Linked DNA regions of Struthio camelus. The protein of the gene in region 2 purifies or fractionates together with the protein of the main gene of each other region. This does not show direct contact. Links are inferred from orthologs where the notes say so. Each region holds a gene or a part of one and is shown on either strand. Other genes may lie near its edges. The genes, in order: ENAH and ZYX.

The links.
Region 1: the proteins of ZYX (region 2) and ENAH purify together in Homo sapiens (co-immunoprecipitation; 4 studies listed by BioGRID and IntAct, counting the BioPlex papers as one, with this or other methods). This does not show direct contact. The link is inferred for Struthio camelus from reciprocal best matches to the Homo sapiens genes ZYX and ENAH.

The regions. Positions count from the first base shown.
Region 1 is NC_090944.1:125,989,704-125,997,678, reverse strand, and holds the start of ENAH (protein enabled homolog), read right to left. Parts: upstream 3,084-7,975; 5' UTR 2,829-3,083; coding exon 2,824-2,828; intron 1-2,823. UniProt on the Homo sapiens protein: Ena/VASP proteins are actin-associated proteins involved in a range of processes dependent on cytoskeleton remodeling and cell polarity such as axon guidance and lamellipodial and filopodial dynamics in migrating cells.
Region 2 is NC_090942.1:90,287,402-90,294,755, reverse strand, and holds the start of ZYX (zyxin), read right to left. Parts: upstream 3,228-7,354; 5' UTR 3,136-3,227; intron 2,842-3,135; 5' UTR 2,685-2,841; intron 1,144-2,684; 5' UTR 995-1,143; intron 229-994; 5' UTR 69-228; intron 1-68. UniProt on the Homo sapiens protein: Adhesion plaque protein. Binds alpha-actinin and the CRP protein. Important for targeting TES and ENA/VASP family members to focal adhesions and for the formation of actin-rich structures.

The DNA.
Region 1 (7,975 bases), on a different chromosome or scaffold from region 2:
AAGCAGGGGGGAAGAGAGATGCACACAAGCCCTATTCATCTCGGCTCCCGAAACAAGTAACTTCATACACGGGCTAGACATTTAAACTGGGACGTCTAAGATTCACAGTTTTATCTGCAACCTACAATGCCTAATACATGCTATCCAAACATCATATAACATTCACTCAAATTCAAAACAGACCACTGAAAAAAGTTAATTGCTGTGGTCAATTTGTACTGCTGATGTTTGCGTGTTACTGAATTGTTGGTTATTTTATAATATTTCGATGCTCTTTACAATAGTATTTAGTTTTAGCTGACAAAAGGAAAACTAGTTAGCTGTTTGATAACTGACCAGCTAACCGTCCCAGACAAGGGGTGAGATCTTCGCAAGAGGTCATCGGAATTATTTCAGGCTGAGGATGGCTGAAGAATAGTCTCAAACGTGTGTGTTTCAAAGGACATCACAGAAACAGAAGGCTATTTTTTTCAGCTCATTTCAGAATGACTTACAGTATTTATTCCTTTTTTGTACTCAGAGCGCCAACTGTATACTTAACTAGAAAACAGTTTTAACACCACTTGCAAATAGACAAGCCATATATTAAACACTGGCAGATCATTTATTCTATCCACTTTCTCACTCCTTCCCCCAATCATGACTTGCCTCGACCAGCAAATACCCATTAAAAGACATTACTCAAGCACAATATACTGTGAAGAGACTGGTTTAAACATGTTTCAGATATACCAATCCTCGTCTAAACAAGTCCGAAGAGAGCGTGTTCAGTGAAAGCTTGCCCTCGCACTGAAGCTGGGCCAATTAAACAAAACTGAGTCAATTTAATAGCGCCTAGATAGGGAAAATACTGCTTAAGCCACATCATTTTCTTAACTTGTTTAGTTTAATTAGTACCATTTGCTGCTTTTTTCACAAGGCTTGGAAGCAGAGTTCTTGAAGTCAGATTTCCTTGAATTACCCAATGACCACTCAAAGCAACTACTCAACTTGACACTACATTTCCCTCTTAGCAGCTTGACATTCTGCACAAGCAGGCAGAAATTTCAGACACATTATAAGAGCATTTGCCTACATTTACTGAATGTTTAAAGTCATTATTCAAACATCTAAACAGGCAACCTAAGGGCAGGTCCAACCTAGACACTTTCCTGTTACACTGCTTAAGAGAAATACTTGCGCTCTGAGCTGGCAGAAGTCCTAACACATAAAAGTTACACTAGCAAAAGGACACTTTTGCTGGTATAACTTACTTCACTCAGCCTCAGTCACGCAATTAGGGTACTTTTTGCCAGAATAAAAGCCCAAATTATACAAGAAGAGTTTCTCAAAATATTTATACCAACTTGTGCTAAATTAATAGCATTCATTGTGTTAAAGATCATCAAAATAAAATTTTAAAAAAATCATTTAAAGAATTCATGAACTGTAAGCTTTTTAAGTCGAAACTTCTTACTCTCGCAGGGCATCTGACTTGTACATAGCAACATGAATAAGTGAAAATAAGTTGCCGTAATACAGAACAAAAGCTTAAAATAATACAGTACATAAATACCTACGGTCTAAGAAAAACAGAGAGAAACATTAGACTAAATTTTAAACAAAACAGCAGGGAGAAAATACCCATGCTTCCCACTGCAAAGTTACTGCTCGCATTTAAGGCGTGCACACGCACACAAACCCTTAAAAATACAGTTCAAAAATGTGATTAGAATTTTACTTGACTTTATGCAGAGTTCTAATGGCTTGACACTTTTTTGCAGCAAAAGAATTTGTTGATTTTCATCACACAAGTTTTACTGCGTTATACCCCGAAGGGCCTTACAACTTTTGATCAATAATCCTTAACACAAAGACGACTCAAATCCAACCGCAAGTAAGACGGTACCTCTGAGAGGAAGGACGGTAACTCACTTTCCCCTCCTAACTAAAGGACAGGCCTACGGAGCATAACGTTCCCCCCGCCCCCAAATATATCAGCATTTAGGCTATCAAGCCACGTCTCTTACGAAGTCTTGCACCAATCCAGAAAAAAAGATTATGGAAACAAAACAGGCACTAAAAAGAAATTGGGGGGGGGGGGGCGAGCCACGGGCGCAGAAAATTATCTACAAATGAATGAGACCGCATCAAGCTCCAGTCTCTCGTTCAAACGAGGGCAGAAACCTACGTGTGCCTTCCCCCAGACCCCTCAAAAGGGGATGAGTAACGTCCACCTCAGTGTTTACATCTGAAAACCTCCAAACGCGACACTTTCACGGCTGCCGAAAGGGGGATTCCTCCCTCCGCCCCCCCCCTCCCCGCGCTCGACTTCTATTTATTGATTACACAGGGAAAAGCCCAGCTGCTGCTGCAATGCAACACCCGCCGGTTAAGAGGGGAAAGGAAAAAAAAAAAAAAGGAGAGAGAGAAAGAACGAAAGAAAGAAAGAAAGAAAGAAAGAGAGAGAGAGCAGCCAGGCGCTTCCCCCTCGCGCCGTGGCGGGGCACACCTCCGACGTGCTCCCAGCCGCAGCAGGGGTGACCACAGGGGACGCGCCGGGAGCACCGCGCCGGCCCCCCCGCCGCAGGGCCCCGCTCCCCCCCCCCTTCCTCGGCCATCAACTTCGCCGCCGCCGCCGCGGGGGACGGGGACGGCCGGGCCGCCCCTCCCCCACCCGCCGCTAACAATGGGCCCCTCCCCCACCGCGGGGCTCCCCCTCAGCTCAGCCCCTTCCGCGAGCCGAACCCCCCCCCCAACTCCCGGGGACCGTTAGGGGCGGGGGGGGGGATGGAGACGTTAACCGCCCCCCCCCTTCGCCTTTCCCCGGGGCCGGCCCCTCACCTCATGGTGCTGCCCGGGGTCGGGGAGCCGCTCCCGCTTCCTCGCTCGCTCGCTCGGCCGCCCGCTCCGCTCCCCTCCGCCGCTTTCCGCCTCGCAGCGGCCGGCGCGTCAACGGACACCGAGACCCTCGGCCGCCAGCGCCTCCCTGCCCGTCTCCTCGCTCCCTCCGCCGCCGGGCCGGGCCAGACCACCGCGGGGAGCCGGGGGGGGGCGGCGGCGAGGGGAGGGGAGGGGAAGGCAGAGGTGGGGGAGAAGGGGCGGGGAAGAGCGAACCAACGCGCGGGAATGGGCGGGGGGGGGGGAAGGAGAGACAGAGAATGGGCAGGACCGGGGATAGCGCGAGGCAGGCTCGAGACACCGGCCGGGCGGGGGGGCGCCGCGGCGCGGCGCGCGAGGGCGGGGGGTGGGGGAGAGGAGGAGGAGCGGGCCGCGGAGGCCACGCCCCCCGCCGCACCGCCTCCCCTGCGGAGGCCGCGCCGGGGAAGGGGCTCGGCGGTGCCCCCGCCTTCCCCCCCCCACCGGGGCGCGGCCGGGCCTGGTTTCCGTGCCCAGGAGCCCCGACGCCGTGGCCCTTCCGCCCGGCCGGCCGGCGTCAGGCGCGGGTGCGAGGGGGAAGGCGAGGCGGGACGCTGTGCTCGTCGCCGGGGCCGGGGCCGGCCGGTCGCAGGCCTCGCTGCCGCCGGGCCGCCTCCGGGCTCGCGAAGGGAGAGCGGCGGGGGCGGCAGGCCTGCGCCTCCCTCCCGGTGCGGTTCCCGGGGAGCAGGCGGGTGCAGGCTGCGAGGCAGGGTTACGGGCAGCCGGCGGGGGCTGCTCGGGCTTGCTGAGGGCAAGCTCAGCCTCGGCATTAAATGACTGGTTTGCTCATCCCTGCGGTGCCAGGAGCGAAATCTGAAGTGTTTTCCCAAGGTGCAGACTCGCTCGCACTGATTTTGAACGCTTCTGCCACCAGACCGTGTCCTTTCCCCGCAACGTTTCTCTCCCTGCTTTCTGGATCGCGTTCTTACTTTGCAAGTAATCAACACATGAGCAAAGTGCTAGAATTGGATTCTTCATTTCTAGGAAAATACATAATCAATGCAGCCCACTAAATGAACTCTACAGGTAAATTACTCGCTGGTGCTGCAGTTCTTCCAATTGCCTTTCTGTGCTCTTGGAAGCACGAGGCCTAGATGTGTTTTTAGAAATACGGGAATGTTATTTCAGCCTCATGCACGTTTGCTGTTACATCTTTCACTAACCCCACGTCCGTACTAAATACAGATTTATGTTTTGCTTTTAGTACTCCCAGTGGGTGAAACACATGTTATACATAACTTTAACCCAGTTCATGTTCAGCTAATTTCTGCCAAACACTGAATACCCCCATTCTCTTTGGTCTCCAGTTAATGGAAAGGATGAGCAAGTATCTCTGCAGTCTTCACTGACATGATGGTATCTCAGTCCTTTTACATCTCTGCTTTAATTTTTCCTTTTAAATTATCATTTTTTCTAGATTTTAGATATTAATAATATATAGGTTTTTATAAATAAATGTATATATACCTCCTTTATAAGTTTCTAGATTTTATATGCAAAAATTGAATAGGATTTTAGAGATAAATATGTACGTACCTTCTTCATAAAGTTCTGATCTAGGTTTCACAACCTCAGTTATTTACTCTGAATCTCGTTTATTCAACGCTGCATACAACCTCTTCTTTGAACAGCCTGGTATCTGAGACAGGGTCAACCACTGTCAACTAACGGTTTCAGTAAGACAGTGAAAGACGAGCTAGTCAATAAAAAATGTCCAGTTGTTGAAAATACTAATTCAAAAAAGAGGATAGGCTCTGAAACACAAGCCAACGAATACCAATTTAGTGAGAAAATTAACATGTTTTTACTGGCATAGAGATGATGTAAATGAAAATGTTGCTATAGGGGTGAATCACAAAATGCAGATGAATAATTAGAAGAGCAGCATCTTAACAGGTAAGTGGGTACCTTTGACAGCAACGTCAATGCAGTCTGAAATAGGAGACTTCATCTAATAAATATGCTTATCTTAAATGCTTCTACTGAATGCTCAGGACTCTAATGACTGACAATGGACTTCAGGTCTTAAAGAATCACAAATTTTGTAAGTTAGAGCTTACTATCACCAGAATATCCTCCAAATAAAAGGTTTGAAAGGGAAGTCATTCAGACTGTGAAAAATATCTTGAAGGCAGCCAAATATAAACATTAAGATCTGTATCTAACTGGACTTGCTCTCATCAGTAGAAGGAATGGCACAGAGAGTCAGCTGAACAAGGATTCTGTTCTAAGACCCCAGCTATTCTGTACTAGCCAAAAATCAGGATGCTAATGTGACTGTTCTGATAAGACCGTTCCGTCCTGTCAGTCAAGCCTAAAAGAAGTTTGACTGTAACAAGTATGTAAAACCCACTGAAAGTATGCCTGGGCAACAAGTCTGCCTGAGAAGGAATGAAAATAGCCGGAAGCTGTTACTCCTGCAAAAAACTATTATCATTACTTGTGTTATATTAGTTGATATTCTTAGCCAAATCAGGCATGGTCATAGCTTGATTTCTCAAGACATACTGTGGGGTACAAGAGAATCTGTAAAAATGCCAGAAGAATCATTTTGCATGCTGGCATCACAGATGTCACCAAGTGCAAAGTCATTCTGGACACTAGCTTAGTCAAAAATACCATTGAATTAATCTATAACAAAATATTAAATCTGCAATAACTCGTATTAGCATTACATGAGAAGGCGAGGAGCCAAAATGATATAGGGCAGAAATCAATTATAAACGTTAAGTGTGTCTTTCTTTCCCCCAGGTCAATTTAGCACTGTTATTGTCAAGGAATTAAAGTAGTCTCGCAGCAGAAGTTTGTACCATGTACATACTTACGATACTGAATTATACATTGAGAAATCTGTAATCTCCTGTAACTGGCCTGCATTTTCTCAAGCTGTAATCGTTAGATGTGTCCGAATCACTCTGTGCAATTCTCCCGTTACCTTTCTAGCTGATGGGATCCTCGAGTGGCATAGCATTGGTGATACTGCCCTTCATATCACCTCCCACCTCTCTCCTTTCTTGCAATGACAAACAGAATGTGGCAGAAAGGCTTCGTAGCTGATGGTGTCTCACTAATAACCTGGGGCCACCGACAGCTTACGATGCAGAGCCGTCTAAAGGCTCTTGTAATTGGTGTCAAAGAACAGTATTAGTGTCCTCCTTGCTCAGGATCCAAGCAGCTCAGAATACCCCAAAGTGACTTCCCATCCCTCTCTCTTGCCTTTTGTGCCGCTCAGCTGCAACTGAGGGTTGGAGCTCAGATGTTTCCAAAGGCTAAGCTAATTCAGGTTGAGTGGTATGGTGTGCCTCCTCTCCAAATAACCTGACTAGTGAAGGCTCTTTAAATACTAGAGAAATGGCTCACCCAGGCATAAAACAGAAGAAAATGTGTTTCTGGTTAGTATCAGCCAGATGCAAGAGGCTTGGCACTCTGTTCCTGAGCAAACCCAGCTGAGTCCATCTCATATCATCAGCATGGATCACCCTTAAGAGCGGGGCATGAGCAGGATGCATGACTAATATTCTGGAGACACTGAGGGAATCCAAAAGCTTCAAAAGGCAGCCTAATCCATCCTCTCTCAGTGAGGTTTCCCCATTTTCTCTGAAACAATCTTCCATTTGCAGTCGTCAGTTTTTTTGGAGAGTCTGTTTGTATTTAAGATGGAAAAGTAGCTGAGATCTTCACACGTCTTACTATAATCAGTGTCCCCGGACAGCAGCAGTTATACCACATCACTTTTTCCTTCTTTAATGCTCTGTAAATAGCATAATGCAGGAAACACAGTCAGAGAGGTTTCTGGAGTGGGGAGAAGTGGGTTTTTTGGTGGTGTTTTTTTTTTTTTGAAGGTTATTACTTTTACTTAATGTGTCTAGAGTTTGGTTTTTGAATAAGTAGAAAGATTTTTTTTTTCACTTGTTTGGGTTCTTTTCTGTAGAATGGTAACATAGAAAGAAAACACAATTTAAAATATAATAGAGTGAGAGAATTGCAACAAAAAGCAGTTTCAGTGAGAAAGCTGATGCTTTCTTTCTGTTGATAGTGAAGGGCTTTCCAAAAATAAAGGGCAGGCTGAAAAGAAATGGCTGTCAGTATGTTCCTATTAACATCTAAGACTCTCCAAACAGAACTGAATTAAGTAATTTAATATATTATTTTCACCACCGATTATGTGAATCTAATTCACCAATATATATTTTGATCTGGACCAGACACAGAGCTGATGTCTCTACCAATTCCACGAGGTCATGGTTAGTTGAACAAGAGGAGGATCAGACTTTATATAGAGATAGTTAAAATATATTGGCTTCCTGTCCTCTTCTTTGCTTCCCTCACCCCCAAGTCATTTTCAATTTCAGGTTGCCATGAGTCAGCCGCCTGCTGGAGTGTTGCACAGCACACTATTAAAGGAAATGCTTTGAACCAAGAACTCTTTAGCTTTATTTTACTTAGGAAAGTAGGCAGAATTCCTCAACCATCTTCAGGACAGAGCGGTTGCTAGCTGTAAAAATCTTTTAAGAATGCTAAAATAAACATTTATCATTACTGGAATGACTCCGCAGAAAAATACAGGAATAGTCAGCAAGGTCTTTTCTTAAAGGCATAATATTTTTGCTTTGTTTTGTTTTAAAAAGGCAAACATAACCTCACCAGAAAAGGAAACAAGTTTCCTTTTGCCATCAAACACAGTCCTTTGACGCCTGAATGTGAAGCTCAGTCTTTCTACCAGCATACCCTGCCCCTTGTTATACAAGTAAACAATTTATAGATCTTCCATCAAGCACCTCCAAAGAGGGAATGAAAACAACAGCTGAAGCTTTCCACTAAGTGTCTTTCCACCAAGGTTCCTCATAGTGCCCCTCATATTGTCAAATAGCATAAGAAAATCTAACCACAAACCTCTGTAGACCTGAGTCTGCAGTAACGGTATGTGTCTTTCAGTCTGTTCCCAATAGACTCAAATATTTAAGCAAAAATTCTTTGAATAAAAAGGGATTGTTTTTCCCCCCTAGGATTATCATGAAAGGAATTTGTATTGTGCTGTAGGCTATTCTGTGAGGGCTGAAGTCTCCTTTTGTGTAAC
Region 2 (7,354 bases):
CTACATAGGTATCATCACGCTGCAAAAACAGTCTGCCTTGATGTGCAGGAAAGGGAGGAGGCACTTACCAGACCTCATTCTCCTCACTGAAAGGAGGTGTCAGGGTGCAGTGATTCAGTTCCATGCTGGATGCATGTTGAGTGCTGGATGCCATAGAGTCAAATGCAGAGGCCCACACTGGAGACCACAGAGCCCCCAGTCCTTCTGACCCTCATCATGCTCATGTATCTGTAAAAATGGCATGCAGTTAAGAATGTTATTTGCAAAGATCATGAATTCTCCTAGAGAGGTCTCTGAACAACCGACTGGGTTCAGTCCCACTTCTGTCCCATTGGCTCCTGTCCCCAAGGGTCCATGCTGCCTCTGTCCATGTCTCAGCAGGATGGCGGGCCTGCATTTCCATGGCTCCTGGGAGTGCTCATTGGAGGCCTTCATCTCTCTCTCACAGTGTTCTCCCTCCTGCTCACTGCTGCAGGGCTCTGGGCCTGAGAGACTAAGAAAGCAAGGAGGCTGTTCCAGTGGATATCTCTTCCCCACAGCTGGAGTATGAGCTGTTCTGTGACTCCAGAAAACTGAGAATGGTCAGCCAAGGACTGGAGAAAGCAGTGGGACGCAGCTGAATTGGGACAAGGCTGGTATGTGTATGGCTGGGTATGGATGCCTATCAGAGGCAATTATGCTTGGAAAGCATTGATACACTTGTCATATCCACAACCTTATGCCCCATGCCTTGCCTCCAGTAAGACAAGTTGTGACATGTTTAGTTGTTATGCACAAATATTGTCTGCCAGAGCTGTCCGTCAAAGAAACAGACCTGGGAGCCTGCCAGGCATGCCCTTGTACCTGGGCATGGTACAAGACTCTTTCTAAGTGCCATGTTTTTGTGGCAGAAGTCTCCTGTCTGCTCATTGGTATGGAGTGTATTCTCCTAAGCACGGCACAAATATGCTATGCTCCTTCCTTCAAATAAGTGTAATCAAAGATATGTACTCACCAGAGCTGGGTGCACAGCTAGTTGCATGCTAGGGGATTTAGTATGTGTGTGTGTGGGAGGATGTCATCCTTGAAAAAGGGTTCCTCCCCCAGATCCAGTCAGCAAAAAGCAGGCTCTCAACTCCCCTGGGTCTCATTCTGAGCTTCCTCCTGCTCATACAAAGGGAGAAGTTCTGTGGTGGCCTCCCAGAGAAGCATCTGGTGCAACTCAGTATTGCAGGGAGAGAGGTGCTGAGCTACAGCCAAACAATAGGCAGTCTCAACAACGTTACCTTGGCATAGTATCTTGATCTCTCCAGTCTCCGTGTGGCCCCTTTCTACCAGAGTGTCATTATTTTCTTGCTGCAGAAGAAGCCCCACAGCTAAATAAGGAGGGGTGGCTTTGCAGACTGCTAATCTTCTCTTTTTGTAGCAGACTAACAAAGATGTGCAATGCATGTGCCAGGGCATGGCATGAAAGCATATTGGACTTGTGAGAACACTAGGAGTACATAAGAAGATTGTTCTGGGCAGGAAGAATGAAACTTGGTGTAGTCCTATAGAGGTGTGGACCTTGAAGTGAACTACCCTCTCTTTTGAGCCTCACCAAAATAAATAGTTGGTTTAGTCCAGACTGAAGTCCTGACACAAACTAAAATGTGCATAGTATAGATGATGAAAGGACCAAGGCCTTGGAGCAAAACAAGAAACAAACAATATAGGCACCCGGTCTGACAGTCTGCTTGCCGAAAATATTAAGAAAAACACTATCTACAAACTGCACAATAAAACACAGTTTCAGCACAACTTTAAGTGGTGCAGTTCCTCAAGGCCTTGCTTTGCAAAAGCAGGAACTATGGAGCTGTATGGAGTTTTCTGCAGTTGCCAGGCTTGGTACATGTGGCTACTAGTATGTTTGCAGATTAATTTACTGCCAATATGAGTAAGAGGATGATTACAGACGAGACACAAATCTTGGACTGTTTCCTGGGGCTGGGGGTGTAATTATCAGGGCCTTGCAAGGGAGTACCAGCTTTCAGTACCAGCTACAGGTCTGTGACAAGTGACAATGTATGGGAGAGAGCTGTCCTTCAAGCTATTATGATTTTCAGTAGGTTGAAAACATAACGATGTGAAAGGCCTTACAGAAGATGTTTGCTAAGTTAATTCTAGCAACGTGATCAAGCGCTGTATGAGAGCTACTGGCTGGGGAGAATAGGAGAGTAGTAGCTACAGGCCACCAATTCTCAGCACTTTGTAGATAGTCTGTGTAATATTGAGAGCTCAGTAGCCACAGCTGCCGTTTAAAATGCAGGAGAGGTCTTCAAAAAGTGGTTTATCTCATACTACAAAGTCTTTGACAGTTTGCCCATTTGGTTCTCCAAAGATGTGCTGAGGTGACAGAGGCATAGCCTAATTTCTGGATTGGTATTTTACCCCAATGAGAAGGGATTTCCTTCTATTAAACCTGAACCATCGCTGCTTGTCACCGCTATCAGTGGTAGATGGCCTGGACAAGGACTTGAGGCATAGCATTAAACAACTGAGCTATTGATGTGCATTTCTGGAGAGGCACTTCCTTCAACCAGGGCATTTTCCAATTGTCTTGATGAAGGTCAACAGGATGACCATATCTCCTAGGTAACCTGGCACACCTCCTGACCCTTTGCTTCCATGGCTCATGAAACAAGTTATTTGGTATCTTTACTTACCCTTATCCAAAACACTTCAGTTACCAGGTAAGCAGCTTTAGGTATGCATTTGGCTGGCTGAAATCTACATGGAGATCATCAGTTGTCAGGCTTCCTATGGAAATGTACTTCTTCCCTTGGATTCTTGAGTCCCAAGTGATGTCTGCAACAGCCCTGGCTGAAAGTTGGGAACAGCAGGCAGTGAAAAATGCCTGTGAAACTGTGCCAGTGGGATCTCATCAGGTTTCTGATGAAAACAGGGTGGGCCATGTTATGAGAGAAGCCCTATCAAACCATTTTCTGCAGAGTGACTGATGGTTCCAGAGACAGCATTACACTTACTGCTGCCAAAATAAATAAATGGGGTATTTACAAAGCTATTTGTAAATAACTGGGCCTCCCACCAACAGCTTTCTTCCCAACACTTTCACACCTGGTGTTCAACCTCATAAAAAGAGTTGCTGGGACCTACCAGCAATAATCCTTTTGCTTCCTGCTTGTCTGCCTTTATGGCCATGGTCTCTAAAACAGTGTCCTCCCAATCTTGCCCATCAAGCCTCTATCTTAAAAATATAAAACAAAAAATGAGATTTGATAGAAAAGAAAGTATATACTTGTATGGAAAACAGGCTTTTAAAGCAAAACAGTAAAGATTGTAGATTTGTGCGAGGGTATGGTAAATTTAAAACAGTGCAAGAGCCATCCATATATGATATCCACACAATGTATAGGTAGGCACTGGATGATGACAGCCTTCTCAGATGGAACATCCTGAAAGCAAAGAAGCCTCCTTGGTCAGCTCCAGTTGTCCACTTGCTTTGGGAAGGGGAACACTGAACAGCCTGCATTTCTCCATTGCAGTAAGAGATACAGTAAATTGTAAGGGATAAGAGATAATAAGAGATACCAATAACAAAGAACAAGAACTTCTTTGTTCAGACTTCATTTTAAGCTTTTGGGTATTTTAAAAAATGTTTTATTAAGATTTGTGTAACTCCAAAACCGTGTCGCAAACAATTATGTATAATCTGAGAGCTTCCAGTCCCCATCCCCTACATACCAAAGAGAGAGAGTGAGAAGATGACAACTGATATTTTGTAAGGCTAAAAATATTGTGCCTTTTACATAACACTGAGAATTTAAAAAGCACATTTGCTGCTTCAAGACTATTTTTAAAAATGCAGTTTGAGCAACACCACTAGTACAGATTCAACTGACATTTAGAAGTAGCTGATGTTTCACTGTTTGGGAATCAGATATTCAGTAGGGAATGAAGCATATGTAATAAAAAGCCAAATAGGATTCAGAGCCTACCAAAAATATTGGCACCCTAATATACAGCTCATGTTTATGCTGTTGGTGGTGTCTGTTTTCCAAGTGCATGCCACCTCCGCCTTTTGACTCTCCAACTCCTCAGACATTCCCTCTAAGTACTAACTACTAGATGGCGAGGAACCTGTGCCTTCTCAGTTTTCCTACCACAGATTCACCTAGTTCCCTCTCTTATGTTCCCGGACTTCCCTATCCCTTTTTCTCATTTCCTGGCATCTGCTGAGCCCTTCCCAGCAGGGTGGGGGTGGAAAACAGTCCTTTTTCTTTGAGCTCACTCATCTCCCCATTGAATGCATCACTTGCAAAGCTCCAGGCCATGGCAAGAGAAACCAGAATTTCACAGCATGGCCCTGCCTACCTCCAGTCTCAGTTCCATGCGAGTATGCACATAGCTGCTTTCAGAGACAAGGTATGTACATACAAGGAGGCAGAATAGATTTATGGAAGAGACCCGCCAGAACGATGTTGAGTGGGTGAAGTCTGCAGCAAATGAAGCAGGCTAGACTTACTAATTCTGTAATACCAAACTGTAGTTCCACAGAGCAATGGTTCCTCCTGCCCAACTGAAAGGCGATACATGATCACTTGCAGTAGGTCAGTGTGTTACACATGCATCACCGAAATGCTAACTGAACAGACTGCATCATCCTAGTTCCAGATGGTGAATTCTTTTGTGAATCTTCTGTGAAGTCTAGAAATGGGAACTGTATGAAAGATGAGATCTAATGTTGTATATATAGAGCAGAACCTCACACTTCTACATGACTCTAGATCAAAATCAGACATGGATGAAGATGTTGGGAGAGTAATACATTTATTAAAAAGCTACAACGCAGCAGTGTTGTTCTGACAGCAAAGAAAGCTATAAATCTTGTAGAAAAACTAATAGAAGGCAAATATCAAGGTAAGGTGAGAAAATTAACACCACCAATGTGAAATTAAGTTGAGAAGCTAAAAGTGGTGAACACTGAATATTGAACATTTATACAGATGTGTACCAACATGCCAAACCTGTGTTTTTCAAAGAAAGCTGATTGTTCTTTCAGGGAGCACTACCAAATTAGATCACACAACCAGGATCTTGCAGCAGAGCAGGTGTGGGAGTGCTGTCTGTTGTTACATTACAGCTAGCCCACTAATTGCCTGCTCTTCATGTGTTGGGATGCCATACCTTTCCACTGTGGACATTTTTTTAATTTTATAAATAAATACCTTTTTAAAAAAATTAAACCTGGGTTGAAATAAGTGTAATTTTAAGGTAACTGGCTAACACTGAAGTATTTCATCCCTCTGAGTAAGTTTGTCCTTAATTTGGGACATCCCAGCAGTGCTCAGTTGTCAATAGATAATTCCAAGATATCCAAAAGGTGTGTCTCTACTTTGGCAGAATAAGCCACTCCGAGAACTCCTCATGCAGAGGAAGAGGAAAGATAATCTTTTGGTGACCACCATTAGTTCCCTTCAGTAATATGCGGGAAAATGCTATTGAGCACCATGAGGATTTTCTGACAAATACTCTTCCTGAGAGGGTAGGTTGACTAGTTTTGTCTCAGCATCACACGAATGCACTCTCATACAGTTTTTTTATGAACTCTAGGTGCAGGCAGAACAAGATCACATCTGCTTGGATGCGAGTGTAGGTAAGCATGAGCTCACTCATACTCCCAGTGTGTAATGCAAACATATCCTATGCCTGTACCTCTACCTCTTGTCCCTTCTAATCTTCAGTTGATTTATACAGCCTGAAATATTTTCGCAACTTAAGAGGATCCAGTCTTCCACTTATGTCAGACAGGTTACAACCTTTTCAGGTTCTGAACTACACTGATGATGCTTTTTTGATTCTTTGAATCTCATAAAAAGCCTTTCTGTTTCTCTTCTGCACCAAAGGAGCTCTGAACAAGAAAGAATGGTATGAGTCATTTTGCTATCTCATTTCCTCTTCAGTCCACATGAAAATTCTATCAGTAGCTAATACAGCTTGATGCAGAATTAACTCTTGTGGCTTCTACTCCATTACTTCTATGAAGCAATTATAGAGAGCTCTGCCAGCAGAAACATTTACTGGGGAATCTATATTGCCAGTGGCAGAAGGCCAGCAGAGAAGCATACTGGAGCAACAGTCCCTGGAGGGTGATTCCTGCCTCTATAGATCTGATATAGATATTATTTTTGCAAATATCTTCTACACATGAAGCTAGTAGGCCTCTGTATATTTTCCATTGCTGAAGATGCATCTTGCAAGAAACATGGCCAAAGTTTCTCTATATCTTTCTCTGATAGTAGTTGGTCAGGCCACAGAGCTTTAAATAAGGATTTTAGAAAGGATCAGAGAAGGAAAAGAAAGTGAACAATCATTTTTCAGAGCCTTTTCATGGCTCATGGATACACATGGTTGCTAGTTAGGCCTTTGGGGATGGGAAATGGGAACTAATATTAGGATGAATGATAGACAGTAGGATGACATTTTAAATTGGCAATTTTTAGCTAAAAGTGGAACATTAGGTGGCAAGATATATGTTTGTAAATTTTTTTCTTTTTAAGTGGTTTGAAGGGCAGCTAATGGAAAAGGTAAAGCATATATCACTTACTGAGATACAATCTATGTCCCTAATAATTAACTGATGAAATGAATAAAATTACTAAGCAGGTAGGGATGGTGACAATAGCTTTGTATTTTATAAGTAGTGTTTCTCAGGAAGAAGCTGTTCCAGCGTTTATAAGATTTTTATATTATATTTATAATACATCTGGAAATATATATTTAGTAGATGTGATTCATCATTGTTTTCTAGAAAAGATAAATAATGCTGAGCAGGCAGCTCTTAAAAAGCAAACAAACAAACAGCTATCAATTTATAGCATAGGTCTGTGTTAAGGGTTATGTTGGAAGCACCTCAGTGTGGATTTGGAACAAATTGTTAAAAAACAGAGCTTGTTGAAACTGCTTTGCTCTCTGCTATTGCTGACCCCTCTCCTGGGCATGAGGCCACTATCTTTAGCTTTGCTGGAAGTATGTCTTCCTCCCCACCATCCCTGCTCTGACCTAGGATCACACTCTGCCTGTGTGCAGGAAGGGGAGGATGAGACCGCTGGAGGGGACAATCCCTATCAGTTCCCCACTCCACAACTCACCTCAGCATTCATCCCTCAAGCCAGGTAGTGCTCACTGAGGAGCACATGCTTATCTAGGTTACTATGACATCTCAGTCAGTGTCACTGTTGCATTCATGGTGTAAGGTGCAGGAAGCAGGGAGAAAAGGTCCAAAGGAGTTTTAAGTCGCTCTTCCACCAGTTGAATTCTTGACCTTGCTGGAATAAGTTAGAGCAGCCCTGAAGCTCTGCTCTGCAAACAAGAA